Linked DNA regions of Arabidopsis thaliana. The protein of the gene in region 2 purifies or fractionates together with the protein of the main gene of each other region. This does not show direct contact. Each region holds a gene or a part of one and is shown on either strand. Other genes may lie near its edges. The genes, in order: AT4G32580 and UBP14.

Region 1 (4,133 bases), on a different chromosome or scaffold from region 2:
TTTAAATCGAATCTATGTAACAAAAGTTGAACTTTCTATAGATAGAAACCCTAAATGTACAGAGGAATCAGCTCAAAACCTCATCAGCGTAAGCACACTACGTCAACAACAACAAAAACATCAGGAGAGAGAGATAGAGAGACAGAGCAGAACCGAGATCGGAGGTTGAGGAGAGACCGCCGAGTCCACCGGCGGAGGAAGCAGAAGCCGTGGAAGGAGTCATCGCCGCTTTAGCCGCCTTATTATCCGGTGGTAGCCTATGGTCAGCCATGGAAGTGGATGCTAAAGTAGGATTCTTGGAGCCTAAAAAGTCATGGAACAAGAGCTTATCTTGTTCTGTCTGTCGGAGACGAGAATCAATATCAGTGGGTCGCTGGCCATTGTTGTGGTTCACCATCATGAAACCAGTGTGTCAGTGTGGCCACTTCGCCACCACATCCTCCGTTACAGTCTTTCTCTCTGTCTCTGGCAGAGTATTATTTCATGGACACACTCAACGAGAGAGAGAGAGAGAGATATTATCAGTTTTTTGTTTTTTGTTTTTCTGGGTAAGTGTATAATAAAGCTTGTCTTTTTCTTCTTCAAGCTACTTTATTGGGTTTCTCTTACATGATTTTAATTCCCTTTAATATTATAATAATCACATCTTTCAAATAATATATGATTAAAAGTTCAGCCCAAAAGAAAAAAGTACGATTGTAAAATCATGGCATTATAGACTCTTTTTAAATTAAGGTTATCATAGATTCATAATGTTATTGATTTGAGAAAGTGAGTTTGTGTATCTAATCTAACCAACACACTATAATTTGGTGTAGTAGTACAATGTTAACTACTTTACTCATATGTGGTTGTTAGATCGATTAGTTAAATAATTTTTATACACATAATTTTATCATTACGCGCCAAATAATCTGTTTTAAAATTAAAATGCAAAATGTATGCATATAACTTTACCTAAATATATGGTTTTGAGATGAGAGTTGTTGAATTTTGAATGATTATAAGTGTTTGATTTCTTACTCTAATATGAGTAAGAGAGAGAACTCATGAACCAACCACTCATGACGAATTTCTATACTCTTAAATGAAATCGATTTTACAACTACTCATGACGATTTTTCCCACTTTAATCTAGTTTAATTATGGAGTATTTAAGATGTTTATTGAAACCACCAAATTAGTATTAGCTGATTTTTTAATCAACTAGTCTCCGGACTGTGATTAATTGGGTTGATAGAAGTATAATGGTCATTTATATGGGAATTGGGAACACGTGTTGTTTTTCTTGTTCTTACTACACAAACCTTAACTAGATGTTTGTGATATGGAGGCTCAAGTATCTGGGTTAACAATAGAGCTAGGGGTAAACTTTCCAGTAGGCTTATGTTCTTCCCATATGAACATAATTCCTTCAACGACAAGACATAGCACGTGTTCTTCAAACAACAGTAGCAGGTCAACTTTAGCAACATGTTTGCTCCAAGTAGCTACCTGATATATATCCACAAGAATTCCAACTATAAAGAAAGTACTCAATAGATATTAAAAATCGAGGCTCTTCAGGAGTACCATTCATGAATAACATAACAGGGTGAGTTTTTCCAAACGATTCTTGAGAGCATCAGCGGTAGATACAGGCTGAGCTCGGTCTTGTCCAGAAGCTTTCGCATTCTTCTTAACAGTTTCAAGAATCGTTGGCCCTGCAGCCAACCCTAAGCTTGCAGGAGTAATAGAACCAGCAACTTTGCCAACTTTATTAGCTAAACTTGATGGATCTGCCCCTTCAAGTGTATCCACAGTTTTGCCATCCTTCAATAAGAAAAGGATTCAGTGCAGTGACAAAGATTCAAGCTTTGTCAATAAGCCAAAAAATTGCAACCAAACAAAGAATCAATATGCCTAAAGTTTACCTTGAAGAAGACGAAATACGGCACAAGAGCAACAGAATAAGCCTCAGATATCTCAGGATGTTCCTCAGCTTCTACCTAAGAAGATAAATAAAACCAATCAAAGTCAAAAACCAATTGAAAGAGATAAAATTCGAACAGAGACGACGAACCCTAAAGAAGTGAGCACGAGGGAAATCAGTAGCGAGATGAGAGAAAACTTGATCCATCTGCTTCGAAGCGTCACACCAAGAAGCCCAGAAGTGAAGCACGAGTGGTGCTCCGCTGTGGCGCAAGTTATCAAGCTCCTCCTTTGAAACGATATCCTTCACAGTACCACTCATCTTCGAAGAGGAAGGAGATGTCGCGTCTCTCTCGGAAGGATCTCCAACACTTTTTCTTTTCTTTTTGTGATTACCAATCTATTATCGAGCAGAATTCTTCTGTTGCTGGAGAAGGAAAAGAGATTTATGTAACTAAGAAAAAAAAATGGTCGGAGAGGGAGATTTGATTTTGTGTCTGTATCGTACGTGTCACAAACTCTCAAAAGTTTGATAACTGTCAAATATACCACATGACAAGTAAACTATCTTTTACTGGGTTATATAGTTGAAAATAATCCGCTAAACGATGATAGTGAATTTTGTTGTTTAAGTGACAGTAAGATGGCGAACAAAGTATACTATATGATATGATTGTTTGCACAATTGGTAATCTCACTGTTCTGCTTTCTTGTTTCCCACTTACTTTTCTTGCTTATCTCACATGAAACAGAAACAATGCATACTAGATGCTTCCCTCAGACATAAATCATCAGAAAGTTAAGAATAATTTTTTAGTTACATAAATATTTGTCTTTAAAATTGCTCAATCCATCCATCTTCTCAAAATATATACAGGGAAATTATAGGAGATGGAATTAGCGCATTGTTTTCCAAGTGAAATATTCCAAGACTCAAATAAGTTAAATGGGCTTGAAAAAATTAGCACTAAAAGGCCCACTTAACGTCTTTTCAATTTATAATTTAAAGATAAGTCGAAGATATAAATTGAAAATAAGTTAAATGGGCTTGTTAATGGGTTAACAACAGAGACAAAAAGCCTTATAACATGTAGAAGATGAAGTCCACATAATTAAATTCGTGGTTTAGCTTTAGTTTCTGGAATCTTCGTACCAAAGTCGCCGGAGATCGGAAGCTAACACGGGAAGATTTAGCCGGAAGAAATGGCTTCGTTAGGTTTCAACCTCGGCTTCACCTTCTCCAATGCACAAATTCAGCAGCATCGAAAAGTTTCCGGAGGTGGAAGAGCTCGCGTAATCTCCTGTAACAGCTCTTCTTCTTCTTCTTCTCAAGCATCATCTCCTCAGGGGATTTCTGCAGTGACGCCTCTTGAGATAGAGCTCGAGTTCTTCGGTGTAACTCTCGGCGCGATTTTCTCGTCGATTATTGATACAATTCGTTTCAAAACTCAGAAGAGACTTTTCGTTTTTTTCTTTGCAGCCGAAGCCGGGTAGCGACGGGTCATATCCGGTAGATAAAGCAAAGGCTGTGAGTGGAGATAAGCTTCTCAGAAGCATTATGCAGGATAACAAAATTGAACTCTACGCTGCTTACGTGAGTTATGTTGATTTCTCTCTCTTTAATTACGAAATTTAACTTCAGATTTTCTCAATCTTAATACATTGATTGATTTGATGTTTGAACTAGTTTCTGGAATAATTTAGTAGACAATGAAAATATTTAGTTCTAGATTTTGATGTGAGGAGATGGTTTGTTGAAGGCTTATGTAAACTTTGGATTTTGGTCAATTTGTGATGATTAGGGGAAAGTGATGAACTGTGGTGGTGGAGGAAGCTGTGGAACTTGCATTGTGGAGGCAAGTGACTTCATACAATGTTAATTAGATTCTGATTATGAATTTATGAGCTATGATTGTTCTAGCATTCATGGATATCAATGGAGGAAAATAGATTTGTGTTTGGTCTTCTTATGATGACCAGTAACTCAAAGCAAAAAAATACACATTTGGTCTTCTTGTGTGCAGATACTCGATGGCAGAGATCTTCTGAATGAGAGAACAGATACAGAAAACCGGTACCTGAAAAAGGCTAGTTATTTGATCACTCCTCTCTATATTATTGTTAGATTCACAAGTTTCTCATTGCTAGTGTTTGGAATGGGTATGTGCACTAACAAGATGAATGAAATGTTGAGCATTGTTTCTGGTTAAATGTGAATATAT
Region 2 (8,670 bases):
CATAAATCCCTAAAACATCGTATAACGCTTTGAAAATGGATTCCCAAATCAATAAAAGAGTAAAGAACAGCATCTGTTTTTCGTTACCTGATAAGCAGACGATAACGGCAAGAGATTCCGATTAGACGCAATTAAAACACCCATAAACGGAAACAATTTCATGATTCTATTATCGGGATTTTATAATTTTTAGTATCTTCTTTTTCTGTTTGTGGGAATCGAGAATAATATGAGCGAATTTGAAGAACACGTGTTTGGAGAAGAAGAAACAATTCGTGTTATTTCTCTTCGAGATTATAATGATGGCCAGTGTTAACTATATAACAAATTAGCCCACTTTTTGATCTTAAAAACTAATTAAAAGATCTCCAATTTCAGTGTATCCCGAGATTAAATATTTTAATCAACAGTTTTTCTGCTAATGTAAAAAAAAACACTTATGATTCCCCTTTTATATCTTCATTTTTCATAAATCTAAGCACCAATGATGCCAAAACTGAAGGAAAAGCTCAAAACTTTTATCCAAAAGAAAAAAAAAAAAAACTGAAAGTAGTTGAGAACTGAGGAGGCAAATTAAAAAGACAGCGAATGATGTTTAGCTTCTAAACGGGTCTTAAAATTTGTGACGAAGTTCCACAGATAAAATCATCAAGTGAACCAAATTTACTAATCCACATGTAAGATTTTGGAACCGAAACTAGTCACATGGGTCACCTCAATCCAAATGTTAAAAACCCTATCGACCTTAAAAGTTTCTATTTAAAAAAAAAAGGATTAGTTTTTGTCTCTGTAACTGGCTCCATCGAATCAATCAAGCCGCTGAAAGAAGTAGACATAACCCATGTCTTTAGGAGGATCAGTCGAGATACCAACTTTGTCGTCATTGAAAATTACCCAGCGGCCTTCTTTCAATATGTGAGCCACGTAATGACCACAGTGCACTGATGTTCCCATGTGACTTACTATTCCAAACAGCTTGTATTCTGCATTTAAGATCAATCTTGAGTTAGAGTTTTATTCATACTGCTTTGTGGAAAAAACGAAACACTAACATTTGTTTTGCAAAATGAGATAGAAAGACTCAAAAGAGGGTTTAAGAAACTAACTCCCTCCTCCATCTGGTAATCCACTTTGAGCCGGAGTCTGCGCTGAATTGCTAGAGGATACATCCATGTCTGAAACAGATGCATTAGGGTTGTTGAATACCCAGTCTGTTGCTTTCTCAATGTCTCCTCCCTGATTAAAGACAAAAAAAACAAAACCGATTTCAGTAATGAGTAAAGAAAAAACAGCCTCGCAGAAATGTAACTAATTTGCTCAAAAGTGTTATACCGAGGCTTTTAGTGCCTTCCGAGCAACATCTTCAGCAAAACCAAAGGAGAGTAAGGTATCAACGCTTGATTGATCAATGTCAGATGTCTGGTGGGAGATTGGTGCATCGATGTCTATGAAACATAATGCCTCATCATATTAGAAATCGGTCTCGAGTCGTAATTTAGTTGAGCCTCAACTAAAGACTTGTGGAACTATTTTCAATTACCTGGATCATCCATGTGAGAAAGTAACCAGTTCATTGCCTCTTCAACCCCAGCATTGGAAGTATTTATGGCAGCTTTCTGGCAGTGAAGCTGGCTAAATCCCATTGAGACTAGCTGTGCAACTATCTCCTCATTTGCCACGGGCTGCGCTGATTCCATCACTTCTTCTGGAACTGTATACAGAAAAATCCAATAGCCAACAGAATTATAAGGAGACTGAGTGCCATAAAGAAACCGTTTAAGGGATGCTGATACTTTTTAATGATTAGGAAACTGAGTGCTAATTCCAAAGGCTAGTAGTCATGACACCAGAAAAGATACCACGAGTTTGAAACAATCAATAAATGGAGTCAATCAATCATTATTTATGTGAATTATGAACACACCACTCCTGTGATAAATATAACAACATACCGCCATCTGGCAACAGTTCTTCCCCAGGTTGGAGTCCTTTGCTACGCATGTGGCTGATATCAATAACATCCGGAACATCAATGTATACATCTGCCACAGTAAATCAAGAAAGGATAATAAGTATTTATATACAGGGACAATAGGGGAACATTATAAGGATCATTGTTTCAGAAAGAAAGAGACCAAGTTTCTTTGGCACCCAGCCTTCCTCCATAACAAATTTCCGCATGTGCAAGACCAAATAATCTGGGAAAGATGTCAAACCAGTTGTCCTGCATAAAATGGGAACCAAAAGTCAAGCCTTGCTTTCATTCTAATCTTGGTTGCAAAAGAATTCACTCGGTAAAAAACAATATCTTACTTGATAGCTGTTGTCATTCCCTTCAAAGCAGAGCTATAGTAGTCTTCAATCGGCTCTGATGATGCAAAATTTGCTAGACAGGCTTCTAAAGGAACTCGTGGGCGTACTATTTCATCACTTGACCTCCTGAAAATAAACAAAAAAATCTTAGATAAGCAGTGAAACTATGAAACAGATTTAAACTTAAGTCCATTGACTCACATATCATTCTCTTCCAATCCTTTTCCTGCTTTTTGCTTGTGAAAGGCTTCTAATTCATCTTGATCACCAAACATTAAGCAAAATTAAGAAACACGCCAAACGATAAAGGAAGAGGAACATAGACAGACGAACAGGATATACCTTTATTAGTTGCCTCATGTAGCGGAATGTTCAAAGAAAGAATACAGTCTTCCCTCTTATTATATCCAACCTTTCCAGACGGACAAAGGATCTTCTCTTCTATTCCAAACTTGAAGCTCCTCGAGGGGTCTAAATCTGGTGTCGTGTTGCTAGCACGCTCAACCTTGCCTACCAGATGGAGGAAAAAGTCGAGAGCATCCTACAAGACAGATTGGTGCTAGTTAGTATGAAAACATAAAATAATTTCGTTAACTGATGCCGAAAAGGAGTATCGTTCCAATACAAGTTAAAAAATAAACAAAACTCCGAACATTAAAAAAGACATGGTTTTCACCTGCTGTCTCATAGAAGAGAATTCTGCGTGGCTCGCGGCAATTACGTTTTTGAACATGCGAGGAGGTATTCCTTCTTGTCTCTATTATCGATTAAAAAACGAAACAAGATGTAAAGTCATCAGAAATCAACACAAGTGGGGTATGCAAAAAAAAAAGTGTGGCCATCCGCATACATATATTTATTCAAAAGTTAAACACAGGACTTCAAATAAAAATCTTACAGGATCTCCAGTTGTAGCATCCTTCTGCAATCAGAAGAAAGGCGAAATCAATGTACTGAGGCTCTAAAAGGTGGTTTAGATCATATACATATATATATGCATACAAGCAAAAATATTTCCTACTATAGTTATACCTGAGTTGCAGGCATTGAGTACTTCCCAGATAGTAAGCCGTGTCCAAGCTTTGTTCTACAACCAACAGTGCAAGGAGTATGAAATAAATATGCAAATTACCATGCAATTATTCCTCATGGAAATCAGATTAGTTAGAAAAAGTGCACAGCATATCAAACCAAACGGAGAGAAAAACAGAAACTAAAGCACGTGCATGCAGATACAGAGTATGCACAAATATAATCTTAAAACCCTTTCATCATAACGATGCCAAGATTTCAATCACATGATTTCAGAAAGTCCAGAGCATAAACTTAGTAACATTTTTTCTAACAATAACTCACAATTGCATATTGAGGTCCAAAGTTGGATCAGCAGGAGCCATCTCAAAAGCCATCTTTAAGCTCTGATGTGAAAAGTATCTGCAACAATCTCAGAACCAAAAGTTACTACAGTTGAATCAAAGAGCAAAAGCTTTGTTTTGATTTAAGTTATATAAGTGAAAAAGAAATATGGGCAATGGCATCTACCTTGAAATAAATGAATGGGTAGAGAAAACAATCTGCATCGTAGCTGCCAAGTAGCAACTGGCAAAAGAAAAGAAATGGGCATAAGACATCAACAAGGAAACGAAATCCCTGACAATTTTTCCATTAGAGTACCTGTTCCCAAGATTGACAAGTCCGGTATATCCAGGTCCAAAAACTGGCACCAATTCTTTTCCACTCTCTTGTATACGGTTCCAATCAAAATTTGTATTTTGATCAAGTTCTCTTTCAGCAGTTGTCATTTCAGTCTGTGAAAATTGTAGCAAACATTTCAAGAAAGTTAACATTATTCAGATTAAAACCAGCATGGGATATCTTTAGCAAAGATGATGATCAAGGCAGTACAAACAAGAAAACAAATACAGGTGACTATAAAACCTATGCTTTGGGAAATGAAGCCTCTTAACTTAAGCAGTACATGGAGCAAGGAAAAATGAGGAAAAAAGACACAATACAGTTTACTATTGTAAATGTTTACATGTGACGCAACAATTACAAGTAAACAGACTGAACGCGTGAATGGGAATTATTGTCTCAAAACGACCTGAAATTACATTCTCCAAGTGCACTGCGTCTTTTTAATCGCAATTATAAAAAAGTACGCAATAACACTGATGTGAGTCTACTTGCTCTTGGTAAAGAAACATTTAGTCTCAGACATATTCCATGTTTCTACAGTTGTTTTGTGGCAATTGATACTGAAGAAAGAAATGAACACAAGACATAAGCTTTCTAGTACAACCAGCACTTGCCAATGCAACCCAGGATGGGTATCTTAACAAACCATATCATTATGGGAATACCTAAGCTTGAGTATCTAATAAAAATGCAGTACACGAAATTCATTACCACAGACAAACAACAATATAAAGTGTCAGACAAGATCCACTCTTCACTTTTATACTTTAACAGAACCATGAACCATCATTACTAACCTTCTGCATCGACGAGAAGTCAATTCCAAAATGGGCCAGATGCTCAGCCAGGAGCGGGTCCAAAACACTGTCATCTTCCGGATAGGAATAAACATCTGAGCTGCCAAAAAATTTGCAATGATTAAGTGCTGAAGAAATCAAAACCCATCCAAAGAACAAGATAATCCACATGCATCAACATTAAAAAAAAAAAACAAAGTGATGCAGGAAGTCCCCCTTATCCACCCCAAAGAGACAACTATCAACTGATATTAGCCATACACAAAAGTGAAGTTTAATGACTAATCTCTGGTTCTACGAATAAGGAAACAAGACAACTTTACCTGCTGCTTCTAAGTCAGCAGTGATAGTTCCAAGCTTTACAGCAAGAGGGTAGGCTGTCTCTTTGTAGTGCTCAACAGCATGGTTGTTTCCACCAGTTCCATCCCAGTTTTTTCTTCCACAGAGAATCATTCCATCGGTAAGATTAAGCCAGAGATTCTCCGTCTTATCACACTTAGAACATTTCCAACCAGAGGGAGGAATGACAATGCCACTCTTGATTTGCTGCAGTGTCAATGCATGTTCACTAATTAACTTTTTCTCAGCTGTCCAAGCTGCAACTTGCTCTTTCCGCTCAGCACCAACGGCATTCACTACAGTATCGACAGCAATCCTCACCTGCAATAACAAATCACAAAAAGCTAAATACATGCAATGTGTTTTCCATAAACCACTCTCTGATAACACACCTAAAATCAACAACATAGTGCTAACAAACACCTTCTCTGGTAGCTCAACAGAAGGAAACGGGAGTGAAACAAAATCCGGAAGTATGACTATGCTATAAGACTCCTCGTACTCTGGCTCATTGTTATCAAAGCCTCCATCAACACCTGCAAATTGATTAACAGTTCAAAACCAATCTCTCGACTCTATGTTCAAAAATCAGTATAGATACGGCATTGTAATCATCATTGTATATATACCTATAGCGAGCAGAGTCGGTTTCTTGAGAGGCCGATCCTCGGGAATAGACTTCCTAGTCTGCTTAATATGAAGATAAACAGGGTTTCCAGTCTTCTCATAGTTCCAAGAAACATAATCCTTCCCGAAAGCAAGAAAACTATTCATATCAACGAACAATCCTCCTTCGGATCTCTGAAAATCATCATTGCGAATTCATCAAAACCGAAGAAAACGAGAGAAGAGTCGAGAGTAGTCGGAATTTGAAGAAGAAAACGAAGTGAGAGAGAGGCTTTACCGGAGTATCGAAGGAGATGCAACACTCATGCTTGTAGATGCGATGAGTAGGTTCAGGGATCTGAACCCTAGACAAGTTGGATCGGAGGAGCTCCATAGGGTTTTTGCGAAATCGGCGAAAGAAACTCTCTGACGACGGAGAGACAGATATGTGTTGTTGAGTGATATCACACGTCTCCGTTACAACTTAACAAGGAAGGTACGGATGATGAGAAACGTCGTCGTCCTTCTAAATTCCTTTCTTATTGCCTGAGGTTTTGGGGAGAATTGCAATAAAGCAAAAGTTGTTGTCAATTTGGGGAAATTTCGTTAACCGACTTTTTGTTGGGTTAATTTTGAAAATATTCTAAATTAAGGATAGAGTTTGGATACACAAAAAGAATATTGTACAGCCCATTAGAGTTTGTATTTACCCAATAGACCCAAGACTATTTGATTGACCCATATGCATGGATGTAGAATGAATCAAAAGAAGAAACCATAAATCACAATGTGGCCAATGTGGGTTTTACATGTTCTTGTTCAACACGAAAATTACTAAGTGTGAGGATATCGTTTGATGATTTTTGAAATGAAAAAAAAAAGGTGGATGTCTACTCTTGGGAAAAAGAGGTATTCAAAGTTCATGTAATATATGAATGCTTATGATTTATGAAGAATGAACAATGGTGATGAATCAGATCCAACTCCACAAAGATTCCTTGGTTCTTCTAGCATGCTAAAATGTTTTGGTTCAACTCGATTGTTTAATTAATGTGTTTTTGGGCTACTTAGCTAATTAAAGTTGTCTTGTTTTCATAAGGCCAATTCCAATCACGGAATATCACAAGTCTGTACATTTCTCAGAATTTAAAATCAAATACATCCACAACAGTGTCGACGAAAACTATATTTACGAAACAAGACAACTTTACATGTGGTGCTGAAAACTATAATACTAATAATAGTCCGAGTATATATCGTTTATCAATGACTCAATGTATAACTTATGCATGAACTAGTGGTAATTTGATGAATAGTATAAATGAGAATCGCGGGATAACAATACTCTAAAGAGAACAGAAGTCACCTTTTTCAGTTACCTCAATTTTAGAAATTTTTCATATTTTTTTTACGGACAATGATATATCAAAATCAAACTGGAATTGATAGGTCAGTGATCTAACTTCATGTCCTTAGATCTCACTGTGTTGGTTCAAATTTCTATATAAGAAGTTAAAAAGGCCTAAATCCACTAGAGTTGTTGACAACAAAATAGCAGAGCCGATTTTTTTCCATACAAGTTTCTCCATATAGAAAACTATTTCTCTTTTGAAAATACTCGTATCCCTTTAAACAATAATTCAGTTTAATGAAAATGTAAGGAGGCGGATTTTTGGGAAGCATGAAATGCTTTTTTTTTCTTTAACAAGTGTTCAATAAAGAACCTTTCTGATATAAAAGTAAAAACCATTGTGGGCCATATCTTACTTCCACTAACATTATTCCAAAGTTATAAAAATATATCTGTCCCAAGATTTTTTTCCTCTTGTCCAATCAAAATATGCATATTAACACATTACTCTCTCTTATTCGTGGAATCTAATTATTCCCTTTCAAAAATTAGAATAGCTAAAAAAAGGAAGAAACAAAAGCTCCTTTTCTCCATAATTAAATCACCTTTCTCCTTCTCTGAATCAATGAAGACAATACTTACATTATAGATCCCTACATTCTTCTCTAACGAATAACTTAACATCTATCTTTCATACATAACATCTATTCTTCTCTGAATCAATGTTTATACTCTTTGGAGGGAACGGAACACTCGTCTGCACACTTCTTCTTCGAGACCTGCTGCTGGACTGATTATGGAGATAAAGAATCTTATTCGCACTCATCTTGATCCTCTCTCACGAGCTCAACGTATTGGCCCCAATGGTTTATCGTACCTCGCCACTTGGTTCGGTCTCTTTATTTGATCATATGCTTTGTTTTACTTTTCTTTGTTGTTTTGTAGGTGTTACTCGTTTTGGAGGCGGTGTGTATTCGATTTCGTTTTATAAATGAAGGTAATGTTAAAAAAAAAAAAAAAAAAAAAAAAAAAAAACATCTATCTTTCATACATAACTATTATAACCCCCCAAAAAAACCTATAGATATATGTTTGGAATTAATTTGGTCGTGTGAAAAAATACATGTCAAATCTCAATAGCTCTTATATATCTATGCATGGTTCTTCAATTACACATTATTTTTTAGTTCTATGAATAAGAAGTATAAATGGACAACACGTTTCACTTGTCCATTAACTTATCTCCTCTTCGTTTAAAAATGCGGTGATTCTTATCAGCAATCAACGTATATATTATAAGTTAAAAAAGATACGTACGTTACCCGACATCTAATATACGATTTTCCGTCTATATATCTATCTAAAAGTCCCACCAAATGTAGGAGTCCAGAAATCTACTGTAGTATCGTGTGTCACTGGAAATGTGCTTGAAACTGGCACTAAGCATAAACCTCGACTTCTAAGATCTGGTTCTTCTGATACTTCTAGCTCTGTGGAATGATCACTCTGCATCATCATTAGAAAACAAAGAAAAAATATAAGTTGCAAATGATTTCTTTTTTCGTT

What was found.
Region 1: the proteins of UBP14 (region 2) and AT4G32580 fractionate together in Arabidopsis thaliana (co-fractionation; one large-scale study listed by BioGRID). This does not show direct contact.

Annotation. Positions count from the first base shown.
Region 1 is NC_003075.7:15,718,303-15,722,435, forward strand, and holds AT4G32580 (Thioredoxin superfamily protein), read right to left. Parts: upstream 2,234-4,133; coding exon 2,063-2,233; intron 1,989-2,062; coding exon 1,914-1,988; intron 1,813-1,913; coding exon 1,576-1,812; 3' UTR 1,335-1,575; downstream 1-1,334. Other genes in the region: TIFY8 (TIFY domain protein 8), read right to left, coding at 154-400; AT4G32590 (2Fe-2S ferredoxin-like superfamily protein), read left to right, coding at 3,115-3,306, 3,392-3,505, 3,714-3,767, 3,936-3,998.
Region 2 is NC_003074.8:7,202,194-7,210,863, forward strand, and holds UBP14 (ubiquitin-specific protease 14), read right to left. Parts: upstream 6,355-8,670; 5' UTR 6,148-6,354; coding exon 6,052-6,147; intron 5,949-6,051; coding exon 5,777-5,948; intron 5,684-5,776; coding exon 5,571-5,683; intron 5,469-5,570; coding exon 5,132-5,468; intron 4,904-5,131; coding exon 4,809-4,903; intron 4,122-4,808; coding exon 3,988-4,121; intron 3,913-3,987; coding exon 3,856-3,912; intron 3,748-3,855; coding exon 3,670-3,747; intron 3,401-3,669; coding exon 3,346-3,400; intron 3,236-3,345; coding exon 3,212-3,235; intron 3,071-3,211; coding exon 2,990-3,070; intron 2,855-2,989; coding exon 2,656-2,854; intron 2,573-2,655; coding exon 2,515-2,572; intron 2,440-2,514; coding exon 2,314-2,439; intron 2,225-2,313; coding exon 2,136-2,224; intron 2,043-2,135; coding exon 1,953-2,042; intron 1,712-1,952; coding exon 1,541-1,711; intron 1,446-1,540; coding exon 1,333-1,445; intron 1,237-1,332; coding exon 1,107-1,236; intron 984-1,106; and 3 more. Other genes in the region: AT3G20640 (basic helix-loop-helix (bHLH) DNA-binding superfamily protein), read right to left, coding at 8,461-8,610. UniProt on the Arabidopsis thaliana protein: Recognizes and hydrolyzes the peptide bond at the C-terminal Gly of ubiquitin. Involved in the processing of poly-ubiquitin precursors as well as that of ubiquitinated proteins. Involved in seed and embryo development.